Drosophila melanogaster: one gene and its partner. Changing the gene in region 1 together with any one later gene gives a genetic interaction. Each region holds a gene or a part of one and is shown in the gene's direction. Other genes may lie near its edges.

What was found. Genes that interact genetically often act in the same process or in processes that back each other up.
Region 2: of Bbd (region 1) and Myd88, changing one suppresses a phenotype caused by changing the other (phenotypic suppression), as found in Drosophila melanogaster (one study listed by BioGRID).

The regions. Positions count from the first base shown.
Region 1 is NT_033778.4:20,532,716-20,536,376, forward strand, and holds Bbd (bombardier), read left to right. Parts: upstream 1-1,529; 5' UTR 1,530-1,810; coding exon 1,811-1,877; intron 1,878-1,938; coding exon 1,939-2,609; 3' UTR 2,610-3,120; downstream 3,121-3,661. Other genes in the region: CG30154 (uncharacterized protein), read left to right, coding at 677-737, 807-940.
Region 2 is NT_033778.4:9,302,703-9,310,435, reverse strand, and holds Myd88 (Myd88), read left to right. Parts: upstream 1-1,713; 5' UTR 1,714-2,641; coding exon 2,642-3,167; intron 3,168-4,679; coding exon 4,680-4,969; intron 4,970-5,033; coding exon 5,034-5,202; intron 5,203-5,275; coding exon 5,276-5,462; intron 5,463-6,100; coding exon 6,101-6,542; 3' UTR 6,543-7,613; downstream 7,614-7,733.

The DNA.
Region 1 (3,661 bases):
AGCAACGATAAACCCACTCGACGCCGGGGGACATTGGATAATGTCAATGGCCGGGGATCCGAGGTGGGACCGAGCAGTTCCACGATATGTTTAATGGCAGTAGGAATGGAAAAAGTTTTACGTATAGCAAAGCAATTCAATTGAAAATAATTAGAAACGTAGCCACATGGCGAAACTTCTTAATTACCCGGCTATTGTGCGTCTACACTGAAATAAATATCTACTGAATGACTTAGTTAGTGGCGTAAATTAGGATTATTTTACTTTTTAAATTATATGCAAAAGCGAATATAAAAAAATATTTTTGTAAAATATAATAAATAACTTTTGACACTTTAATCCTGTTGTATATAACCATAAATTTCTCTGAGTGCATTCGACAGTGGTGGCACGATGGTTTCAATGAGAATTAAAAGAGTGCAAAGAACAGAAAATTGCATTATGCATAAGTCGCTAGAGCTTAAGCCATTATCGAATCCCTCCACGTATCCAAACATGGACAAATAAAGATACAGAGAATGCCACTAAGAGAGGGAGTGAGAGCGAGAGTCCAAAGCAATCCAAGAGATACGATTCGAATAAGAGATAGAGCGCTACTTGGCTATTGGAGCCGTATAAAACAAGTGTGTCCATATTATGCCCCATCATTGGAACATTGGAACTCCTCGGCTTGATCATGTACCTACGTCAACAACTCTGGGTTCTCTTGCTCTGGCTCTGCTTCGTCGTTCTCAGCGGTGAGTGGTGTTCTAATATCTATATCTATTATCTATATTTTTATAAACCCACATTTGTCATTTGTGAAGTGCATGGCATGCCGTGGAAATGGGGACCTGCCTCCAATTCTGGACCCCATGGCGGACCCGCCTGGAATGGCGGAGAAGAGTCCACCGACAATATAGTCATCCATTCGAAAAACAGCGGCAAGTGGCGTTACTAAATTTATCCAAGTGGCAGAGGCGTGACCACAACCAAGTCAAGCTGGATTTTACAGTAAATTTGTGAATAATTTTACAACTACTTTGCTTCGCAATTGATTTTCGTCGAACAGTACTCGATTTGTATGCTAATACTTCATTCATGGTCACACTCACTTATATATAGTCACTTTAATTGTGCACCTTTTTATCTATGACATTTAAATATAACCCTTTACTATACTGTATGTAATAGAGCCAAAATATTTAAACGAGATTAAAAGCCTAATATTGCAAATATGAATATGAAGATACAGTTTATACGGCTTTTGAAATTGTTTCCTGAATCTAACTAATATTGCAATCGAATGAACAAACCGAAATAATCTACGAAATTATAAGCTATTGATTGATATTGATTTTATTGATAAGTATGCAAACGAGCTTATGGGAATTTTTCAATTCTGATCGTCATAACAATATCAGCACGTGTTTTATAATAATTTTTTCAGAATGTTGCAAATCGCAGCGCACCCAACTTTTCAGTTTCTATGGCATATCTGCGTACTTTTGGCCTGGCTAAAAAGCGTTCTTGATTTGACACAGTTCCCCCCACTCTCTCGATCCGTCTAAATCGAGAGTGAATTGGCAAGCCGGTGACGAAGTGCCTCTGTCGCTCAACCGCAAGTAAACAAAACAAACCCGTCGGTGGCAATTCCCGGTAGACTGCACCGCTGACCTCCTCCGTCTTATCTGTTATTGCGCGAGAGTCACTGTCACTGAGAACCGATCTCATAGAGTATATAGAACGAATACGGCGCGATGAGCCGATATTTTTATGGGATAGTATAAATAGCTGGCATCGCACTTGGCATTGGCATAGTCAATGCAAAATGGGCTCGAACACTGGAGCTTGGATTCTACTGGGCCTGCTGGCCGGCATCGCCTCTCTGTCTAGCGGTGAATATATAGATATACTTTGTATGTGCAGATAGAAAAAAAATAAATTGTATTTTTATAGCTGCGAATATACAGCGAAATGAGGACCAGACGATTCTTCAGAACAATGGAAACACCTTCCTATCAAACGGAGCCGGGCAAATCATTCGTGGACCCGATGGCAAAACAGTATTGATCGGATCCGATGGGCGCAGGATCATCACGGATGCCGACTCCAGCGAAGAGGACAGCTCGCACGATTATGGTCACGGTGGGAGCTATAACAATGTTATCATCAATGGTGGCTCGGGATCCAGCGTAATTCATGGCGATGGACATAGCTTCATTGTTGGAGATGCGAGTCATGGAAGTTACATGAACAGCAATGGACGCAGTATTAGGATCATAAATGGTGCCATCGAACTCAATGATCACGGCCAGGTGTACACATTCAGGCCAAAAGCAGCAGGCATTAACGAAAAGGAAACCGTCACCATCAACGGACAACCGGCTCAGGTGGAGTACTCCAATGGTGATATAGTCATCGAACTGGCCGATCATACGGTGATTGCCAAGATAGGTGGACGCACATTTCTGGGCGATCGCGAATCCTTCGACAATCGGGATAAATTAGAGGCGGAGGCAAAGAACTATGCCGATCGTATCCAGCAAGAGGTGCACGCCAATCTCCAGAAAACCATGGCTGATATTCAAAGGGATCTTCAGAATTCCCTGGGAAATATTTTCTATTAGAAGCCAAGTAATCAATCGTACACGAGTCGCTCGAAATAAAGCGCCTTTGCAGCAATTGTCTTGACTTTAATTGTCTTATCTATGGTTTACAAGCTAAGATGTTCTAAAAGATACATATCTAGTGTGTAATCCAAGTACAACAGACCCCAGACATGAGGCGTCTTTGGGCATAATCTTCCCATTTGACCGGCCTGAGGCCACAAACGTGTGGGTGGTTAGGTCAATTAATGGGAAATGACGCCCGGCAAATGTGATTGATTAGCGGGAAACTCACCGTATAGGCAGCTTATGGGGCGGCTAAATCTAATGCTTAGTATCGCCTAACAGACTAGGTTTGTATGGGCGTGTGGCGATTGGAATACAATTACCGAGCTTGCGGCGGTGTTTATGAACACTTCTTGGTATTTAAATGACGGAATTTCCCAACGAATCTTCGTAAATAAGACCAAGGTCTCTTATTCTTTATATTTGTGTTTTCCAAGCTAACTTAATAAATTCTTAATTAATGGCCTTGATCTTTTGTCAGCCACAAATTGTCTAATTGCATTGCTGTATACATTTGCTTGTTTATGAAAAATGCTTTTAATTGAATTAGGGTGGGTCGAACGAAATTTCTGCTTATTTTGTATTTCTAAATCGAGATTTGAAATTAAATTTCCATCGATGTTAAATCTTAAATTTCTATATCAGGTTGACAGTTATATATTTAATAAACTGCTACAAATTTGTTAAGTGAGAATGCTATAGTCGACTTGGGCAAATCGATAGAAATTTACAAGACAAATAAAAATATATAAAAAGTTTTAGTTTTGGGCGGCTTGTCGGCGTAAGAGGGATCGTTCAGAATGTGTAAGGTTGATCTAGAGCTTGATTTGCAACCCATAGTCAGTACAAACCAAGTATCTTATCTGTGTCCTTGTTGTCCATTTCGAAGATTGATTCGCTGCCATTTCCCATTTTCAAATTCAATGTCAATTCTGTTAATATGAGCGGAATGAACGCAGTGGATGGATATGTGGGGTGAACTTTTTATCTTAATGACTTTATTTATA
Region 2 (7,733 bases), about 11 Mb from region 1:
ATTGTAAACTTAAACATTTAATCTACTTAGAGCGGGTCGTTGTTAAATGCAATGCAAGTACATCTGGGACAAAGAATCACACACCTCATTCAGATTTGTAAGATACGCATTTTGGCCCAGAAAGCCATTCGAATTTGACCACAAATACACACAGGCTAAAACAGAGGCTAAAATAATCAAATTTGTCGCCAGGCAGTCACAAAGGATATTTAGTATATACAATCAAACAACAATATACTTAGTAATTGCATTTAACACATGGGGCAGAGCATATCCACTAGGTTTGCAAAATTGATTTAACTGCATGCTTAAACTAACGAAAGTAAAAAGGAGATTAACTGAATGAAGGAGGTAGGGGAGACCTAATTAAAAGAACACAACTAATGTCTATATTTATGGCTAGCTAAGTGTAAAAATGTAAGCTGAATTATTATACAAACAACTACAATCGAAGCAAGTAAATTGATGTAATTGAAATACTCGAAACGTTCTAGGGCGAAATACCAATGAATATTGAATAATGACACAGGTTAAACACAAACACGCAGCAAGCATAAATTAATGAATAACGAAATTATTTCTCGAGAAAAAAATCAAACTTTTTAGCCTTTGAACGAGAGACTTTTGGTGCCCAATCCAGTTTGAGCAATTATTTACAAGTGAAAAATGAACGAAATACAAAGAAAGACACACAAACCACACCACACACAGGCAGATGTATTGTAAATAGAGCCACAAACAAACCAAATGAGTAAATACCAAGTAGGTACATTAATAACTAATGATGGGGCTTATCCGAGTAAATCAACATTAAATAAATTAACAACGGAATTCAAACAAAAGCAGGTAACTTCAACTTCAACTTGTGTGCAAGGCATCAACTTTTACTGTTAATTGTTGCTGGCAATGCAAAACGCAACGCCGACCGAAAAACGAAAACTACAAAAATAAACCATGAAAAAGCAAAACAAATATATTTAAAATACATTTGAACGCCTTCAGCGTTTTATTCATCAAGCAAAGCAAGAAATGTTGAATCGAAAGAAAAAGTCAAACAAAGCCATAAAAGCGATAAATCAATTTGTGTCACCTGTGTAGTAAGTATATCTCAGTATTTGTAACTGAAAATGAAAAGCGTTGAGGTGCAGGCATCAACCACACAAAGAACAAACAAAATCAAATGAAAATAAACTGAATTTACAAGTGCTCTCTGACTATTATTTACGAGAGTGTGGTCCTTGGTTGGCATGTTCATTTCCCCACATTATCGTCTCAAATCAGTTGATTTCGGGGAAGCAATATTTCTCGGTAAAATGAGTAAGTATGTCTTGGACAGGTCGAAATGTAAAATATTCCTTTTTGAGGCACCATTAAAGGTACCATTCTCTGCATAACTGAAAGGAGTTAGATTGCCTACATCAGCCGGTCGAATAGGAGAGTGCGTTTTTACTCACTTTACTACTCTTCTTGCTTTTGCACTAGCAAGAAATCATTATCAATTATGCTTATGAATAATTAGGAATCCTACGGCAAGAACCAACGTTCCTAAATTATATTTAACCAACCGGAAATTAAGTCAACCACTCTTAGAGCGCCATCTGGTGAATGCTTTTGGAACCTATTAAAGTGTGGCCCGCGCACCAAAAATACCGCAACCGATAACTGGCCCCGATAAAGTACCAAACCTCGCCGATGACTGGCCACCCGAAAAGCTGTGACTCGCCAAGCTTTTGCCCATCGATCGCCACGAGCTTATCGGAATCGCGATCTGATCTGAAAAGTGGGAACGCAGCGCAGATAAATTAATTAGCAATTAGCCAGTGCAAACAGAGTGTTGTCAGCCGACTAGAAAAAGCAGCTGAGCTGATAGTTCCGCCTGTGGCCCCCGCGCTTTCGCCCTGCATCGGAACGAAACCAAAATAAACAAGCGAGTGAAAGGCGGTGGAGAAAGAGCGCGGGAGAGTGAGCGCGAAGAGTAGTCCGTTGGGGAGGAGGCGGAGGAGGAGCGGACAACGAGGCAGAAACAAAAGCACAAACGGCGGACAGAACCAGTCGAAACAAAACAACAAACCGGAGCGGACGCACTCGAAAAAAGCGAAACGAATTTATTTCTGTGCTTAGGGCGACACTGTGTGCGTGCGCCACTGATTGTGAGTGTGTGTGTTGTGTATATTTAAACAATATTCAAAAAATCATACGCCAGACGAATAAAAAACGCGACGAAAACGAAGGCGAAGATCTCCATCTCCTCTCGCAGCGGAGCAGACAGATAAATAAAAACAGAATCCGAGACAGCAACAACAACGCGACTGTGACGCGGCAAGGTGCTGGAGGTCACTCGGTCCATTTCGCACCGCACTGAAGTATAGAAGTTTAGCAGTAAAGCACCACCCCCTTCTAACCAGTTTCAGCTTCATCCGCCCGCAAAAAACAAAAAAAAAACAAGCACGCGCGATCGGAAAACTCGAAAAAATCTACAGAGCAGCACAACTCACGCGCTTCATCGTTTTATTGCTCGCCGCCCTCTCGACTGATAAACGTCAGTTGATAAATATATATCGCATCACATCGCATCCACACTAAAACAAATACGCCAGCAAACAAACACCAATTATTCCAATAAAGCCAGCGCCAAGTGCGAATGCGCCCTCGATTTGTATGCCATCAGCAGCACTCGGTGGCCCATTCCCACTACCAGCCCCACTCCCACTTCCATCACCATACCCACCGCCATCCCAATCCGCCCCATCACCATCACATTTACGGCGCCACTGACGTCAGTTATCGGCGTTATCGCACCGCTGGCATGGTGGTGGCCGAGGGAGTTATGGACTCCGGGTCGGGATCGGGCACGGGAACGGGCTTGGGGCACTTCAACGAGACCCCATTATCCGCACTGGGCATCGAGACCCGCACCCAGCTGTCCCGCATGCTGAACCGCAAGAAGGTGCTGCGATCCGAGGAGGGCTACCAGCGGGACTGGCGCGGCATCTCGGAGCTGGCCAAGCAGAAGGGATTCGTCGACGAGAACGCCAACAATCCCATGGATCTGGTGCTGATCAGCTGGAGCCAGCGGAGTCCCCAGACCGCCAAGGTGGGCCATCTGGAACACTTCCTGGGCATTATCGATCGGTGGGACGTCTGCGACGATATCCAGGAGAATCTGGGTAGGCATTAACTATTTTTTACTTATGGTAGTCGCTATCTATCTATAACTAAACTATGTCACTTGAGTTTTGAGTATCATTTGTTTTAGATTAGCTTTTAAATGATGGTCTGACGATTCGACTTTTACTTCAAAATGCCATCGTGACAGTGAAAATTTAGTTAAACGTCTAGACTAACTATGTATGTTTGACTGTTCTCGAGTTTGCGAAGTTGAAGAGGAATTTTAAATAATGTACTTATCAAATGATATGTACACAAATGTTGGAAATCGGAAAATGAACCATTAAATTTTACTTTAATGGCGAGCCACACTTATCAATTATTTTTGGCTGATCCATTTTTGGTTTTATGACCGGAAAAGCCGTTTCGAGTTTATAAAAATGGACGTGGTAATCTATATAATATAGGGAGTATATGCAGAAAGCGTACATATTTAACTTATCTATCGCACATTTATCTAAGTCAAACAAAGCTTATCGTCGGATACATAAAACTATTGAGTTATGATGAGTAGATACGTAATGACAGAAATAAAAGTCACCCACTTTCCCATGATTAATTTGTGTTTATTTCTATTTATTGTCAAATAAAACGCTTCGACTTACAAGATTTTTATTACCACATCCCGACAAATTGAAAAACACACAGCCATAAAGAAAAAATTCAAAACAATAATTTCTAAAAGCCGCAAACAACAGAACTTAAACTATAGAAAATGCCAATCAGTTAAGAACGAAATTTTCTTATTTATTTGCACAATGGGGATTCACCCAGCAAAAACTGTTGTCATTAATAAAAAACCTCGAACAGTCAATTTTGTTTAGGAGCAGATGTTGTATAGATATATTCGTTGTGACCAAAATGGTTCGATTTAAAAACAAATGAACGCACTCGGAAGTTGAATGCTTAAGGTATAAAAAAGCACACATAATTAAAATCGTATTAGGAATTTTTCAAAGGAAATGTTTGAATTCCTTTTCTAATGATCTTTCATTGGGTGTTTTAGAAATATTCCAATAAAACTAAAAATAACTAAAAAAGTAAATTTTTTATAAATGTGTCGTTGATGATAACTGCTTGAATCTAGAATTCACTACCTCTTACTAGAATGATCTTTTCTGCTGACAATATATTTGGAATAAAAAGATGGGGAGACAATGGCAGACATCTGAATGGATATATGCATACACTTATCTATTCATACATAATATTGAGTTACAAATCATAAATACTACCAATTTGTTATGAAAGCTTCATATATTAGCGACTGTGTGCAGAAACTCAGATAAACTTCACTATGCCATTCCTTTAAGCTCATTATATATCAACAAAGGGTTATATTTATTATTTAATAAACATAATTTAAGTAATTTGATTTTGACATTAACATGTATAAATTGTGTTGTTTACTTTACGAATGATGTGTTAAGAAAACTTTTTGTGCGGCCTTGTAGTTTTTAGCAATCATAATCCCTTTAGTAAAACTGTTTTAATTTTGCTCTCCTCAAAAGCCAAGGACACCCAGCGCTTCATCATGAAACAGGAGCAGCGACAGACTGCTCTCGTGGAGGCGTGTCCGCCGCCCCCCAGCGACTGCTTCGAGACCAACAACAACTACAGCAGCAGCAACAACATCACAGTGGGCCAAAGTGTGCAGATCCTCAGCGACGAGGACCAGAGATGTGTACAGATGGGCCAACCGCTGCCCAGATACAACGCATGTGTTCTGTACGCGGAGGCAGACATCGATCATGCCACCGAGATCATGAATAATCTAGAGTCTGAGCGATACAATCTCAGGGTGAGTGGGATGCGCTCGGTTGCTGTGTGTTGTATTAAATAACCATGGGATCGTTCTATTGCAGCTATTCCTGCGCCACCGCGACATGCTAATGGGCGTTCCGTTCGAGCATGTCCAGCTATCCCATTTCATGGCCACCCGCTGCAATCACCTGATCGTCGTGCTCACAGAGGAGTTTCTTCGGAGTCCGGAGAACACGTACCTCGTGAACTTCACCCAAAAGATCCAGATTGGTGAGTAGCTGATACGCATTTGTATCGCAGAGCCAGAGTCGCATTACAAGTTCAACGATCTGACTTTCCCCAGAGAATCACACTCGCAAGATCATACCGATTCTGTACAAAACGGACATGCACATACCCCAGACCCTGGGCATTTACACGCACATCAAGTACGCCGGGGACTCCAAGTTGTTCAACTTCTGGGACAAGTTGGCTCGTTCCCTACACGATCTGGATGCCTTTTCGATCTACTCCACGCGCCAGGTGCAGACGTAAGTGTTGCTACTTCCTGCGATATATGTATATGTATGTGTTCCAAAAATACTTGATACATTTTTAGGGGTATAAAATCTCAAGATAATGTAGATTGCTAGCCAACAGATAAATGAGGTTTGCAAACTGAATACGAATACATGAAGTAGTCTAGTCATCCCAATTTAAGAAGCTGTTTTAGAATACATTTTATTAGCTTAAGTTTTTGATTTTACTGTTCAATTATTGCTACTGCTGGTTGTAGGGGCTGCGAAATCGTTTCACAACATTCACATAAAATGTGCAAATGTATACCAACTGCTTGTAAACAAAATATATAAGCAAATATCACATGGCGTACGAGCGATCAACCTTAGAACAGCCTAGCAGGTATTTTTATTTAGTTTTGCTAAATTCAAAGAAGATACGTTTGTTTCAGAAAGATGAACTCATACGACTTTTAAAGTGCCCAGGAAGTAATACACTGCATATGAGTAATCAAATTTGAAACAAATTTATAAACAGGAAATAAATGTATTATATATCTGGGCGTAAGATTATATTGAAGCGAAATTAGTTTTGCTGTTAATTGTAAAACATGTTGGAATTTTATCACTCATATCATAAATTTGGCATTCTCTAAAATTTCTTTATGCAGTCCCTCGCCGGTGGAGGAATCGGCTCCCCGGGTGACCACTCCCAGCATTCGGATTCAGATCAACGACAAGGATGTCACTGATATGCCAAACTACAACAGCTGCAAAGTGCCGGAGGCGGAGACCACAATCGTTTCGGTTTCCGGTGACACCGGCTCACCCCTGCCGGAGCACAAGCCGAAGAAAAAGGATCGCTTCCTGCGCAGAATCACGCACAGCTTTGGAAAGACGGCGCGGAGCGATGGGGCCAGCGGCAAGACTCTGCGTCATGCCCACTCCGTCAGCACCATAAATGTCACGGAACGCGAGAGGACACTCAGTGCCAGCAGCTCCAACATCTCCACCACGTCGGAGAGCAAGAAGAGCTTCATCAAGTGGCAGCCGAACATCCTGAAGAAGGCCCTATTCTCGCGATCCAGCAGCAAGCTGCAGACGCCGGGCTGAGATCATAGTGTTAGGATAGCCATTCATTCGATTTCTCGATTCTTTGATTCCTTGTCGTGTGCCCAGTCTAGTTGTGGCCGCCCAGTCACCAATGTCGTCACCCTCCATGCCTAGTGATAATCTTTAGCCTAATCCTTATCAAGTCAACTAACTTAATATACTTAGACGCACTTGTTAACTTATATAAGACAACAACGAATAAAGACAATACCACATATCCGCACAAATGTATCACAAAAGCACACAGACTACCAAATACGACACGATATTGCTATATGCTCTATGTATATGACTCTGGACTTGATAAACAGACAAATTGGCAATTGCGTTGAGTGAGGTTAAATACGCGACACTGCTAATCGAAGTGCTCAATTAACTGTTAGTCACGCGTTCGATAAGTGACTTACTTAATTTAATTATCTCGCGCGCCGTTCTCGCAACTCAGACCCCATCTGAGAATGAGTAATGAGCATATATAACGCATACGTACATATGGCTGCATTGTGCGAGCAGTGCTTTATCATTTTGTAAACTGCTCAAGCCGTTTTAGACGATTGCTAGCAATAAGTAAACTGTTTGTTCTCGGTACCGCCATCGGCTGGTTGCCTCATGTGATTAGCTCTAGCCTAGCTGTTACCGATTGTTACTGATTGCTGTGAATGCGTGCCCATATGCCTGATGTGCACCTAAGCACACTCACTTGTTATAAAGCAAAGACTATCAATACGTCATCCATCATCACATCGTCTCTTTCAATGTATCTAGAGTCTATATAGTATTATATGTATCTCCGGACAGTGCGTTTCAAAACCATATAGAGTCGATCGACAACCATATATTATGTCCAACTTTTGTCAAGCGACAACGAATGTGGATAAAACGCAATATACATATGTTCCTCAATGTCGGGCATCGAACGCTCGAACTTCGACCTTCGCGACACGTGGCACTTGGCGGTCATGGTTATGAAACGCACTGTATCCATATCGGAAATAAGCTAGCTCCAGTTGAGCGGCAATAAACTGTTCAATGTTTGGCTCAATAATTTATTGTTGAATGTAGACAACCTTTAGTTCGTTCATGTTTAATAAACATTGCAGTTGATGTGTGAATCCCCGTATATGTATTTACATACAGTTGTTCGCGTACATATTGAGTGGAAATGTTTATCGACCAGTTCCGGTTAATCTA